Coturnix japonica: one gene and its partners. The protein of the gene in region 2 purifies or fractionates together with the protein of the main gene of each other region. This does not show direct contact. Links are inferred from orthologs where the notes say so. Each region holds a gene or a part of one and is shown on either strand. Other genes may lie near its edges.

What was found.
Region 1: the proteins of NRP1 (region 2) and KDR purify together in Homo sapiens (affinity purification with western blotting; 7 studies listed by BioGRID and IntAct, with this or other methods). This does not show direct contact. The link is inferred for Coturnix japonica from reciprocal best matches to the Homo sapiens genes NRP1 and KDR.
Region 3: the proteins of NRP1 (region 2) and mitochondrial chaperone BCS1 purify together in Homo sapiens (affinity purification with mass spectrometry; 3 studies listed by BioGRID and IntAct, counting the BioPlex papers as one, with this or other methods). This does not show direct contact. The link is inferred for Coturnix japonica from reciprocal best matches to the Homo sapiens genes NRP1 and BCS1L.

The regions. Positions count from the first base shown.
Region 1 is NC_029519.1:58,827,906-58,831,655, reverse strand, and holds the end of KDR (vascular endothelial growth factor receptor 2), read right to left. Parts: intron 2,918-3,750; coding exon 2,821-2,917; intron 2,717-2,820; coding exon 2,628-2,716; intron 1,836-2,627; coding exon 1,616-1,835; 3' UTR 305-1,615; downstream 1-304. UniProt on the Homo sapiens protein: Tyrosine-protein kinase that acts as a cell-surface receptor for VEGFA, VEGFC and VEGFD. Plays an essential role in the regulation of angiogenesis, vascular development, vascular permeability, and embryonic hematopoiesis.
Region 2 is NC_029517.1:12,662,177-12,665,826, reverse strand, and holds part of NRP1 (neuropilin-1), read right to left. Parts: intron 3,482-3,650; coding exon 3,207-3,481; intron 2,748-3,206; coding exon 2,654-2,747; intron 916-2,653; coding exon 859-915; intron 1-858. UniProt on the Homo sapiens protein: Cell-surface receptor involved in the development of the cardiovascular system, in angiogenesis, in the formation of certain neuronal circuits and in organogenesis outside the nervous system. Mediates the chemorepulsant activity of semaphorins.
Region 3 is NC_029522.1:24,268,726-24,272,475, reverse strand, and holds the start of mitochondrial chaperone BCS1, read right to left. Parts: upstream 2,552-3,750; 5' UTR 2,442-2,551; intron 2,398-2,441; exon of another isoform or gene 2,374-2,397; intron 2,271-2,373; 5' UTR 2,217-2,270; coding exon 1,897-2,216; intron 1,545-1,896; coding exon 1,405-1,544; intron 1,291-1,404; coding exon 1,096-1,290; intron 676-1,095; coding exon 612-675; intron 279-611; coding exon 109-278; intron 1-108. Other genes in the region: ZNF142 (zinc finger protein 142), read left to right, coding at 2,868-3,105, 3,651-3,750. UniProt on the Homo sapiens protein: Chaperone necessary for the incorporation of Rieske iron-sulfur protein UQCRFS1 into the mitochondrial respiratory chain complex III.

The DNA of each region.
Region 1 (3,750 bases), on a different chromosome or scaffold from region 2:
GCAGTTACTTCCAACCATTAAAAATTACTGAAGTTTCTTTACTACAGGTACCCACAGAAGCGTTCATAGACCTGTACAATGGCAGAAATATCTAGATTTGTTAAGTGGCACTTAAGATAACTAGTACTTGATAAGTTTCCCTGTCAGTAGTCAGGATATAAGTAAATACAGGCAAGAGAAAATTTACCTGTACCCCCCACCTCTGTTTCCAGTCTCTTATAATAAAATGAAAAGCTTTATCTATTAAAAATGTTGTGACCCTCATGATGCTACAGAACACTGATATAAAATGTGAATAGTACAATATCCATTATATAATATATATATTTATATTTTAATATATTACATTTATTTCTACATAAGTAGGCTATAAATACTGTATATGCCTTATATCCATGGTTCCCAGCATCTGACTTTATAGTAAGTACAAACAAACAAAATAACCCAACAATATAAAAATACAAAAAAGAACTCAGTAGAAATAGCTTTACATTTTAAAACCTTGCAGTTTGCATTGTGTTTATCAATAGTGTTCTGGGACTACAAGAGCACAGTAAGAAGTTGTCCATCAACTACAGTCTCACCACTTGGAGAAGATTGGAGCTGCCATGAAATCAGTCACAGATTCCCACGACTACATAAATCACAATCTCTGCTGGTGCAAACAAACTTTGAGTTTGTCAGTGACAGATGTGGCTTACACCTGGGGAAGAAGGATGAGAAGAGAAGGCAGAGTGGCTTTCGGATAACCCATCAAGACCAAAGGGCTGTCTATGCTCCCAAAGTAAATGAACCCTCCCTCTCTATCTCTGCCCCAGTGGCAGCTCAGAGGAGAATTTTCCACAGCACTCCTGACTAGCTCACAGGTGATCAGGACCTTGGCAAGGACTAAGGGGGCTGGGGAGGGTGTGTGCAGAGACATCACCATGGCAAACATGCCCCATGCACCCATGTTCCATCATCACACCGTTTCTCCTAATGAATCTCACCAAGTACATCTTCCCCAAGGAAATGGAGATCACAGGGTTTAGTACAGCAACATTTTTCTCCACAAAGGACAGAGATCACCTCTCCCACCTATATTTAGCCCAGCCTATGTTTAGCCTTAGGCTATTGGTGAGTGCCAGAGCCTTGAGCTGGAGGTTCCTTTTATAGTTTGTGGAGGTGCAGGCATGGGATAACTCTGAGAAACAAGAAGCCAGCGCTGTGCCGTTTCCTTCCTGGAGTCCAGCCGGGAAAAACAAAAGAGCAGGCCTGTGTCATTATTTCGTACAATTAGCAACAGTTGAGCTGAACGCCATGCCACTGTCCGTGTTGGGCTCGGCCTGCCACCGAGGTCCTAAAGGCCATTACACTGCTTCTGTCATAGAGTTGGCACTGCATTCACACACCACAGCCATGACTTCCCATCCTCAGCCACAAGAGTCTTTGGAGGAATGCACCTCACAGCCTGGCACTGCCTTGGGGCTGCAAGATGCTTCTGTATCCTCTTCTTGAAAAAATAAACGTCTTTCCCTAGGCCCACAGCCGCAGTCTCTGCACACACCAAATGTGAATACCACCAGCCAAGGCAAGGAAGGCACATCCCAGGGGACCTGGAGCCACTGGTTTCGGCTTAGAGTGGCAGGGACGCAAGAGGCGCAGGGCTGTCATATGCCAGGCCATGCGCACGGGGCAGCGTGGGGGAGGCCTCCTGGGCACACAAGAGTTCTGTGTCTTCACTGGAGCAGACCATGTTGTCCATGTCGTCTGAGTGGTACCCTGACTGGTAGCCACTTGTCTGGTTGGATGCCTCGGACATGACAGACTCATTGCTTTTGCTGGGCGCCAGTGTGCTGCAAAAATAACAGATAGGTCAAGTCAGAGAGAAGCAGATTTGTCTTCTGGAAGACAAAGTGGGTGACTCCTGTGGGTAACTGCTTCACATCACAGCGACAACAAAAGCAAAACAGTGAATTCAACAAAACTGGCTTTGAGCCCTTTTAAATGTGTGTTTGATTACAAGGAGAAATCTTTTTATATGCCCTAACTAACCCTAATGAATGAAAAATATTTAATTTTATGATAGTAGGGAGTTAGATTGCAACTGTAGATGAAATGGAGATAAAACCTGGGTATGTTTTGTTCAGTACAGCCACAGTGCAATCATGACTGCTATACACCTTTGTTTGTATGAAATAATTCCTCTGAGAAGCTCTCAGAAAGCATAAGTCAGATGAATGCCACTGTATTTCCTGTGAACTGCACAATTGAATCCCTGTACAATGCTCTGAAAATACACCCAGGTACATCCTGAAAACTCAAGAGCTAGTTTCAGAAGAAAGAAAGAAAGAATAACAAAAAAGAGCTCTTTGTCATCCCAGTTGTGTTACTGGCTCAGTTCCTTCAAGGGGTGGTTGATGCTTTTGCAGCTGGTAAATACAAGTCCCTTCTATGTTGTGCTACCTTCCCTCTCTTGGTACAAAATGCAGATGGCCAGATACACAATGAAAAACTTTTCTTTGTGTGGTTTTAAGAATTCAGTAAGAAAAGTTTTTGTATTTTAACAAAATCTACAAACCTATCAGTGCTCTGAATCACTACAAGAAAAAATCCATATTCAATCCTATTTGCAGCCTGAGCCTTACCTGAAGGGTATTTTGACTTGTTTATCTTGCTCTTCCAGAGTCTTTAGCTCTTCAGATGCAAGAACCATCCCACTGTCTGTCTGGTTTTCCTATAAAAGTGGTTAAAATGCATTAAATGGAAAGGGGATTAAAAATAAGAAAAAAAAATAACACACATCAATAAAAGGAGAAGACATTGAAAGAACAGTCTCACCTCCTGAACAACTTTTACAGTGGTCACCAATGGGATATCTTCAAACGTTTTCACACTCACGGGTCGGCTTTTTCTTTTGCTACCTTGTCGGTACTGACTGAAAAGAAAACAAAAACAATCGCTTTGCATCCACTATCCACAACTGGGCTGAAAACAGCACAGTGATATCAGTATCCTTTTATCTCTCTACAGAGAAATTAATCCTTCTGTCAAAACATATTATGCAAACCTCAAAATATCCATTTATTGAAAAGGACAAACTGCCTAACAAGTGGCAAGTTTCTGACCTCCTGCTCCTGACAGCCTTGATCTCTGAGCAAATTCTAAGAAACAGCTTTGAAAAAACAGCTCCTTTCCTCAGTTACACTGGAGGGCTTCACTTCCTGCAAGCTTTGCTCAGAAGTATAATAAACAGAGGAGCCTGGAACACAGACATGTGTCTCTTTCTTTGGGTTGAACTTCTGGGACCCCTGCCTGGACCCAGGACAACAACAGCAGACTCAGCAGACTGACGCCCTTAAACCATGGGGATCGGCACAGGCAGGGCTGCATCTCTCCTGAAGGCTCTCCTCCAAAAGAAGCCCTTTGGTCAGGATGACATCCATAAAAAATATTAGACCAAAAAATAACAAATAGAAAAACTGGAGTTTCATGGAGGTACTAATAAAGCAAACACAACAGCCTTCTCTCTAAGTGGATCTGGGATAAAATGGATGTTGTCTCAGTTAAATAGCTCCAATTTATGTTCCTGACAGCCAATGGAGAAAAACACACTCTGGGCACTATGGAGTTAGAAGAGAAACCTGCACATACTTGTGCAAAGCTGAAGGCAATACAAGGCATCACTCATCCCATTTCCCAGCTTTGAGTTTAGATATGCCAAGTCCTGCCAGTCTCCTGTTGATTTTAATTAGCCCCAAATATTCTTTA
Region 2 (3,650 bases):
CTTTAGCCAGTTTGAGTCTGTCTCTGCTTCACTGGCTTCGTGGAATGGACGTGGAAATGGGGATAGTGACAGAACTGACACAGGAGAGCACTCTGCCTCCTAATGTAAAATATTCACTGGATATCACAATGTTTTCCCTAAACTCAATTTATTAAGGAGACATGCTAAGCTTATGAAACTTGCTAATTGTTGCAAGCAAAGCAAAGGAGTATTTCTGTATGAACTCCACTTTCACTAAACCCAGTGACAATCTTGTTGACTGTAGCCAAAAAGAAAAAAAAGAAGCTCTTTGCTTGAAAAATGCGAATGTATTTCACTATGAGAACAATATGACAATTATGATCCATTTAATGATCCATTTACAGCTATCATCATTGAAAACGATAATGCTTTGGTAGACTGGTTATAAAACGACATTTTCTGCAAGGTCTGAGAAATGATTAGCCTGAAGAGTTTTGAGCCTAATTACCTAGACACTGCATGAGACATAAAATACAGTGATAGCTTTTTCTTCATCTGTGGGTATGCCTTCTGGATAAAAAATATTAGAGATCGATAGTGTGTGTGTGCATAAATATGTATACAATGTAACAAACATACATAAAATTTGAATTTTTAAAATCTTTATATAGGATAGAAAATCCACAAGATTGTAAGGCAAAGAAGAATAAAACTATGAAATCCTGAGTATAAATGTAAACCTTCTAAGTGTCTGCTGTAGATAAACAACAACAACAAAAAACTTAGTGCCATATGCAATTAAGATTACCAATTCATAAATAAGGAAATAGAATACACAAATTCACATGAAAAGACACATTGTAATTCATTTCCTTGTAACAATAGCATAATTTTTACCTGTTTGATTACTTTCTGGATCTTCTTCATCTATTCTGTTCTCCAGATCAGTTGATTCTAATGAAGCAAAGAGAATTGACATTGATTATTAGGGTTACAAACACTGATTGACTATCATGCTGACAATAATGGTATAGCAGATTTTTCTGTGTCAGAGCATCATTATGCCAGCTTGACATAACTGTTCATTATGACGGGCTCTGAAAATTAATGGAGAAAAAAGAAAGATTTAAAAACTTCTCTCCACCCAATCTTGGCACAGTTTTAGAGTTATCAGCAGGGGTTTTCCATGCCTACAAAAGAGAAATCAGTGTGATAAATTAGCATCTCATTCATTGTATTTACAATTTTGGAGCCCAATTCCACAACACTTCATCAGTGAAGGCACAGTTAATCACAAGAACTGCAGCGAGACCATTTGTGTTTGGTCTGCTGAATAAGCTTTAGCTCACACAGGCTAAAATTTCTGCGCACCATTTGGTTTGTATATCTGAAAGGAGGAAATATACAAACACCAATTGTAGTCTTACTGTTTGGGGTTGAATTTTTGTTCCTCCTTTCCTGTTGGACAGTTTACCTGGCTATCATTATTGTTATTATTTCTGTTATGATGTTTCAAATAGAAGCTCCATTTGTCTTTATTTCTTGAGATTTCAGTTTGCATATCTGAAATGAGGAGGTAGGAAATAAGTTACTTTCCTCTCTCATTTCAGTCAGATCAGCGCCATCACTGTGGTCCCAGCATCTTGCTTGGCACTGAAGATACTGCAGGAGGATCAGGCAGTGTGCACTGACTCTCTTTCCTGGTAACGTTTACTTGTGCTGCAGGATGAATCGAGGAGATGGACTGCACAATGAAGAGACTGTTTCAGTCTTATTCAGCTATGAAATTACCATGTAGTTGGAGCCTGTCATGTTATCCTCAAATGGCTGTTAGCCACAAAGGGTGAGAACAGCCTCTATCATTGTTCTCCATTGTGCTGCCAACTCAAGTGGAGTAAGTTTACATTTCTGATGCTGAAGGTTCTCTGTTCTATTTTCTCTCTTAATCTCATACCTCAATCTCTATCATGAAGGACGGGATTTAGTTGCTTGTGTTTATCTGGAGGTTGCTGCTGCCAAATTACGTGCAGTATGCAATGCACATATGATTGGCTGTGACTGGAATAATTCCAGACTGGCCAGAAAAAAACGACTGAAACAGGGGCTCAAGATCAGCCTGGCTCGGAAGCAAAACAGACCACGATCCAGTACTACTCAGTGACACGTGTCTAGGGAACTGATAACTATGGTAAATGAGTAATTGCAAACTCTGCTGCAGGGCAGCAAAGGACAGGGCTGTGGCCACTGAACCATACTTGGGTATCCAATGTTGGTTTGATAAAATGCTTAAAAAATCCTAGGATAAGTGATCTAAAATGAGTGAAGAATTTTAAGCAATAATTAAGGTAGGGAAGAGCATTATGAAAAGCAGAAAAATACAAAGAGTACAGCAATAAAAAATATAAGGAGAGATGTGAGGATGTGAATGTGCTGTGACCTGTCAGGGGGATGCCAGCTGTGATCCAGAAGACTGCATCACTGCAGTACTGAGGCCAGCCTACCAATTAGAGTATGGACCAGATCAGGGCGTTTTCAGTGCTAAGCTTCCAATATCATCAATAATTATGTATCCTTTTCACAAAGAAAAAAAAAAACCCAAAACTAAAATCCCATAATATCAGCTATCTAAATAAATCTAAGTAAATATAGGTACTGGATGAGATCTCTATACAACCATGCTATGCATACTTACTTTGGCAGTCCTCTTGAGATATGTGATTGTCAATATTAATATCATCCACAGCAATTCCTCCATTTCCTTTTCCAATTTCTCCCTCTATAACCACCTGGAAAAATAAGATAATTTTCACACTGTTTTCAAGTTAACACACAATTGAAGAGTTCAGGAAGTCTTAATTAGCCGTTAACACACTTCTCCAGTTGTCACGATGCCACATTACGCACACTTTGATTGTGGCCTGTCAATCAGCGCTATATGCCTTTACGAACTTATATGCACAAATGTGAATTCATATAATGTCTAAACTTCACAGAAACATTTTACATCAGTAGCAAAAGTATGGCAAGGATGCAGTTTTTTGACAACTGAGAAGTGATTTCTAATGCATTTATTTGGCCTTCTATAACAAATTGCTTGTATCACTGTCATCTGCGATAGTATGAAATATGCCACTATTATTACTGTCACAGCAACAGCAACTCATCTGTAGGTATAACACTGTTTACACAAATCCTCCAGTGACATTTTCTGCTAAGGCATGTAAGGCATGACCAGCAAGGCTCACCTGGTAGTGTTTCACAGACTTGTGCAGAAGAACACGGCCCTCCTTCCAACAGTCTGCCTGGTGCCCGTTCAGGGTCAGCAGCACCTGGTCATATTCATCTGGCTTCTGGTACCTCAGCTTGATCTTCAGAGTGCCAACATGTGGGCCAGACATGTGGTACCAGAAAGTCATGCAGTGTGCTGAGTTCTGTGAGTAAATGACGGGGCTCAACAGCCGGGCAACTTTGCCTTTCTGGCTTTCGTCAGCTTGAGAGTAGATGAAGTTGCCATCTCCTGCTGTGACAAAAGGACTGCATTAGGAATAGTGACCAGATGTTGTTTTCTTTGTTCAGCTAAGAAATCTCAGCTCTGCCAGTCGTGGTCTCTTTGCATTCTGCCCCAAGTCGCACAACTGAGAGTGAAGTGTGCCCCAGAGAGAGTGTATTTCTGCTGCTCACCAAGATGC
Region 3 (3,750 bases), on a different chromosome or scaffold from region 2:
GAGCTCCAGCTTGAGTCATGAGACCTCTGAGAGCTGCCCCCTCCCTGTCAGCCAGTACCAAGCCAGCATATATCCCAATGCCTGGCCCAGGAAGAGATCACCACTCACTCTCAGCAGCGAGGTCCCGACTGACGAAGGCAGCATCCACATCCTCCAGAAGGATGATGCTCTGCTGTGGTGCCACACTCATAAGGTAATTGAGTCGGTCATCAGAGAGGCTGCGGTCACTGAGGCTCAGCAGGCAGATACTGTGTTGCAGCTCCCCTGCCAGCGCTGTACTGGGAAGGACACAAAACACAGCTGTGAATCACAGGAAGAAAGCCTGGAGCAGAGGAAGGCAGCGGAAGCTGAAGAACGGGCTCTCCCTGTCCAGTAGCAGAAGAGAGCACATTTTCCCCAGTGGGGATCAGGCAAGGACAGTGGATGTGAGCCCTAGTGTCAGGCCAGCTTGTACACAGTGCTGTCACTCTGATCTACAATGGTGACACAGCCCACTCCTTCACTGCTGGATTTCAAACCCAAGCCCACCTACATCTTCTCATCAGACACTGCTGCACATCAGAGCAGGCAGCTGGCAGGAAAACTGCTGTCACACAGCTAGCAATACTCACATGAAGCTGCTTTTTCCACAGCCAGGAGGACCGTATAGCAGGTAGCCTCTTCTGTATGGGATCCCTAGGAAGACAGTGTCCTTTTAGGAACCAGCTGTGCTACTCTGAGACCTCTCCCTCAGAGCCGAGAGAGAGGCTGATGAACAGAAGGCTGGAAACTGCTACGAGACAGGGCTGCAGCAGGCACAGCAGCAGGGTGCTGAGAAGCTGCGGGGATGGATATAAGCAGCAGCCTCTGCTTGGCCCCTGATTATGCTTGTCCCTTCCTTTCTCCCCTGTGCTTGGCTATGTTAAGGGCTCTTTGTTAAGAGCTGAAAACGAGTGGGTACATCATGGTCACAGTTGGGGTGAGAGCACTGCGCTGTGTCCAGGCTGAAGAACTCAGACACACGAGGGGTTTCGCATAGCACAGCTGTGCTATCTGTGGACAGGGGTAAGGTGATGCATTGGACACAGCACAGAGGACACCGTGCTGGAGCCTTGCCTCTCTCGATGTACCACTGGGGGTTGTCGATGAACTCCTTCACATCCTTAACCAGCCTCTCTGACACACCCGTCTCCAGCACCACCGAGCTGAGAGGCCGGCGGCGGCGCGGGAACCCAAACTGCCTCCACTCCGTTCCAATGGCTGTGTACATGATTGTCCTCCCCTCCTGCTGCTGCAGAGCCAACTCCCGGGCTGCAGAAAGAGGCAGAGGGAATGGCTGGCAGGGAAAAGGCTCTCTTATGACATCCCAGGTGCCACCAGGAAGGGGGCTGTTCCCAGTAGGGCCATATACAGCTGCCTACAGACCTTCCTGGAGGATGTTGAAGAAGATCTCCCGGTTGGTGCCCAGTGCTGTGAAGGTGACAGACTCCCAGGCGGTTCCTGTGTTCAGGTCAACCATCTGCCTCTCCCGGTTGCGCTCAATGCGAATCCACTTGTTCTGATACCTGGAACAAGAGAACAGAGTGAGGGATGGAACCCACCTCCAGCCACAAGCCACATCACCAAGTGTGAGTGTCAGCCTCTGCCTTTCTCCTCTCAGTCAGATCAGCCAGCGATGGTGCTGCTCTCTGTGCCCAAAGCAGGTACGGTGGGGACCTGGGCTCAGTAAGGGGAACTCATGGCCCTTGTGTGCAGTCAAACTCCCTAAACTACTCCCAATCTCCTCTCCTAATTCAGACACAAGAAAGAGGTAGAATTCTCTCCTCTGCCTCTAGGAGCCCTCCAAACTGGACTTTCCTTGCCAAAATGAGGGTGAATCCACAGATTGCTTCTCCCTCTCCCTGTGGTTTTCCTTACCAGATGAAATGGTTTCCAGGGCTGGGCACGAAGTCAAACTTGGTGCTGACGCGCCCGCTCTCATGCTGCAGGTACGAGGTCTCAACACTCAGGTGCTGCGTACGCTTGGCATGATGCGAGATCCAGTTCAGCAGCCACTGGTAGCTCTTATCCTTACTAGGCACCTCCAACGTTATCATATAGTGACGCCTGAAAGCCACCAACCCAACCTGAGCCCCTTTCCGAGCCAGCGCCATGGCCGTGCCCACTCCAACAAGGCCAAACCCAGCCCCAAAGTAGGGGTTGTCCTTCAGCGCCGCGATAAAGTCAGAAAACGGCATAATGGGACGTTAACGGGATTCTTCCCACAGCATCTCCACAGTCCATCAGCCAACCTGTGTGGGCAGAGAGTGCAGGTGGGCTGAGTGATGAAGCAATGTACTATACAGCCCCTACCCGTGTCCCAGAGGGCCCTACCCCACAGCACAGCACCCTCACCCCGAGACAGGCCGAGACAGACCAGGCCAAGACCAGGCCCAGGCCAGGCCCGGCCCGTTGCCCCTCACCTCCACGCCGCTCTCCCCGCCGCCGTGCCGCTCTCTATGGTTACTTCCTCTTCCGGCGGCTCCCGGCCACTCACCCGCTGGAGGACCGGAAGTGGCGGTAGGGAGGCGCTCTGTGCGGCCGGATACCATCGAGATGCGCTGGGCCGGGTCTGCAGGTGGGACTGGGGTCAATGGAGGGGCCGTACTGGGGGCACTGGGTCGGGGCTAGGCCTGAGTGCATTGCGTTGCTCCTGGGCTGGGGATGAGGTGTTCTGCCCGGCTGCAGGCCCTGCGTGAGGCCCCTGGCTCAGGTGGTGCTGAGGCCCTTGGTTCACCCTCTGAAATCCCTCATCATTCCATCTCGTTCTTCTCTTCCAGAGCCAGGGAACCCCCCCCTGCCCCGCACCCGGCTCTGAGTGAGGGGCAGTGAGTGCAGGAGGCGAGGAGATGGAGGCCCTGTGTTCTGAGCTGCTCCTGCCCTCCCCGGGTGCAGTGGGAGTAGCAGGAGCAATGGGAAGCCCTACTGCCACTGCTGGGGCTGCCCCGCTGCCCGTGAGGCAGGAGCTGGTGCTGGCAGAGGCGTCGTTGCCTGGGGAAGGGGCTGCGTCCGAAGGAAGCAACGTAGAGATCTTCATCGAGGCTGTAGCTGGCAACGTGACTCTGAGCAACGCAGCCAGCGGCACCGGTACAGGGTGTGGGGAGGAGGGCACAGAGCATTCGGTGCTGAGCAGTGGGATGGGGGGGTCAGCTGGGCACTGTGCCTTCTGGTCAGCATCATGGGGATGTCACACTGACCCTGTGTGCATCGTGAACAGATGCTGCTGCTCAGTGTGAGTCTGGCACAACGTGGGGAGGACTGGCCCAGGAAACCAGGCTTTGGGGTTGCTCTGAGCCTTTGGAGGATGCAGGTGGAGATCTCCGTCCTCCTGCATCACCCAGCTCACTGTCCACCGTGGGGCGTCCTGCTAGAGAGAAGGCCAAGCAGCATTACTCTGCCTCAGAGGTGCTAAGGGACAGACCCACTCAGAGTGGTCACCTGCATGATGACTCTCCTTCTGCAGTGGGACTATGTGGCATGGGATTCCCAGGGCAGAGGGAGGACTGTTGTTTTCAAAGCTGTAATTCATGCAAGATAATTTTTGTTCTTGTCCAGAGCTGGAACTGAACCACTGGTCCCAAGCTCTGGGCTTGGTGAAAGCCCTTTCTCATGATCATCCTTGCTCTGTGCAGAGGTTCTGGTCAAGGTGGTGGAGTTGTATTTCTGCGAGAGGTGTGGCCAGAGCTTCCCGGAGGCTTCCTCGCTGTCCCAGCACGAGTGCCTGCTACTGCC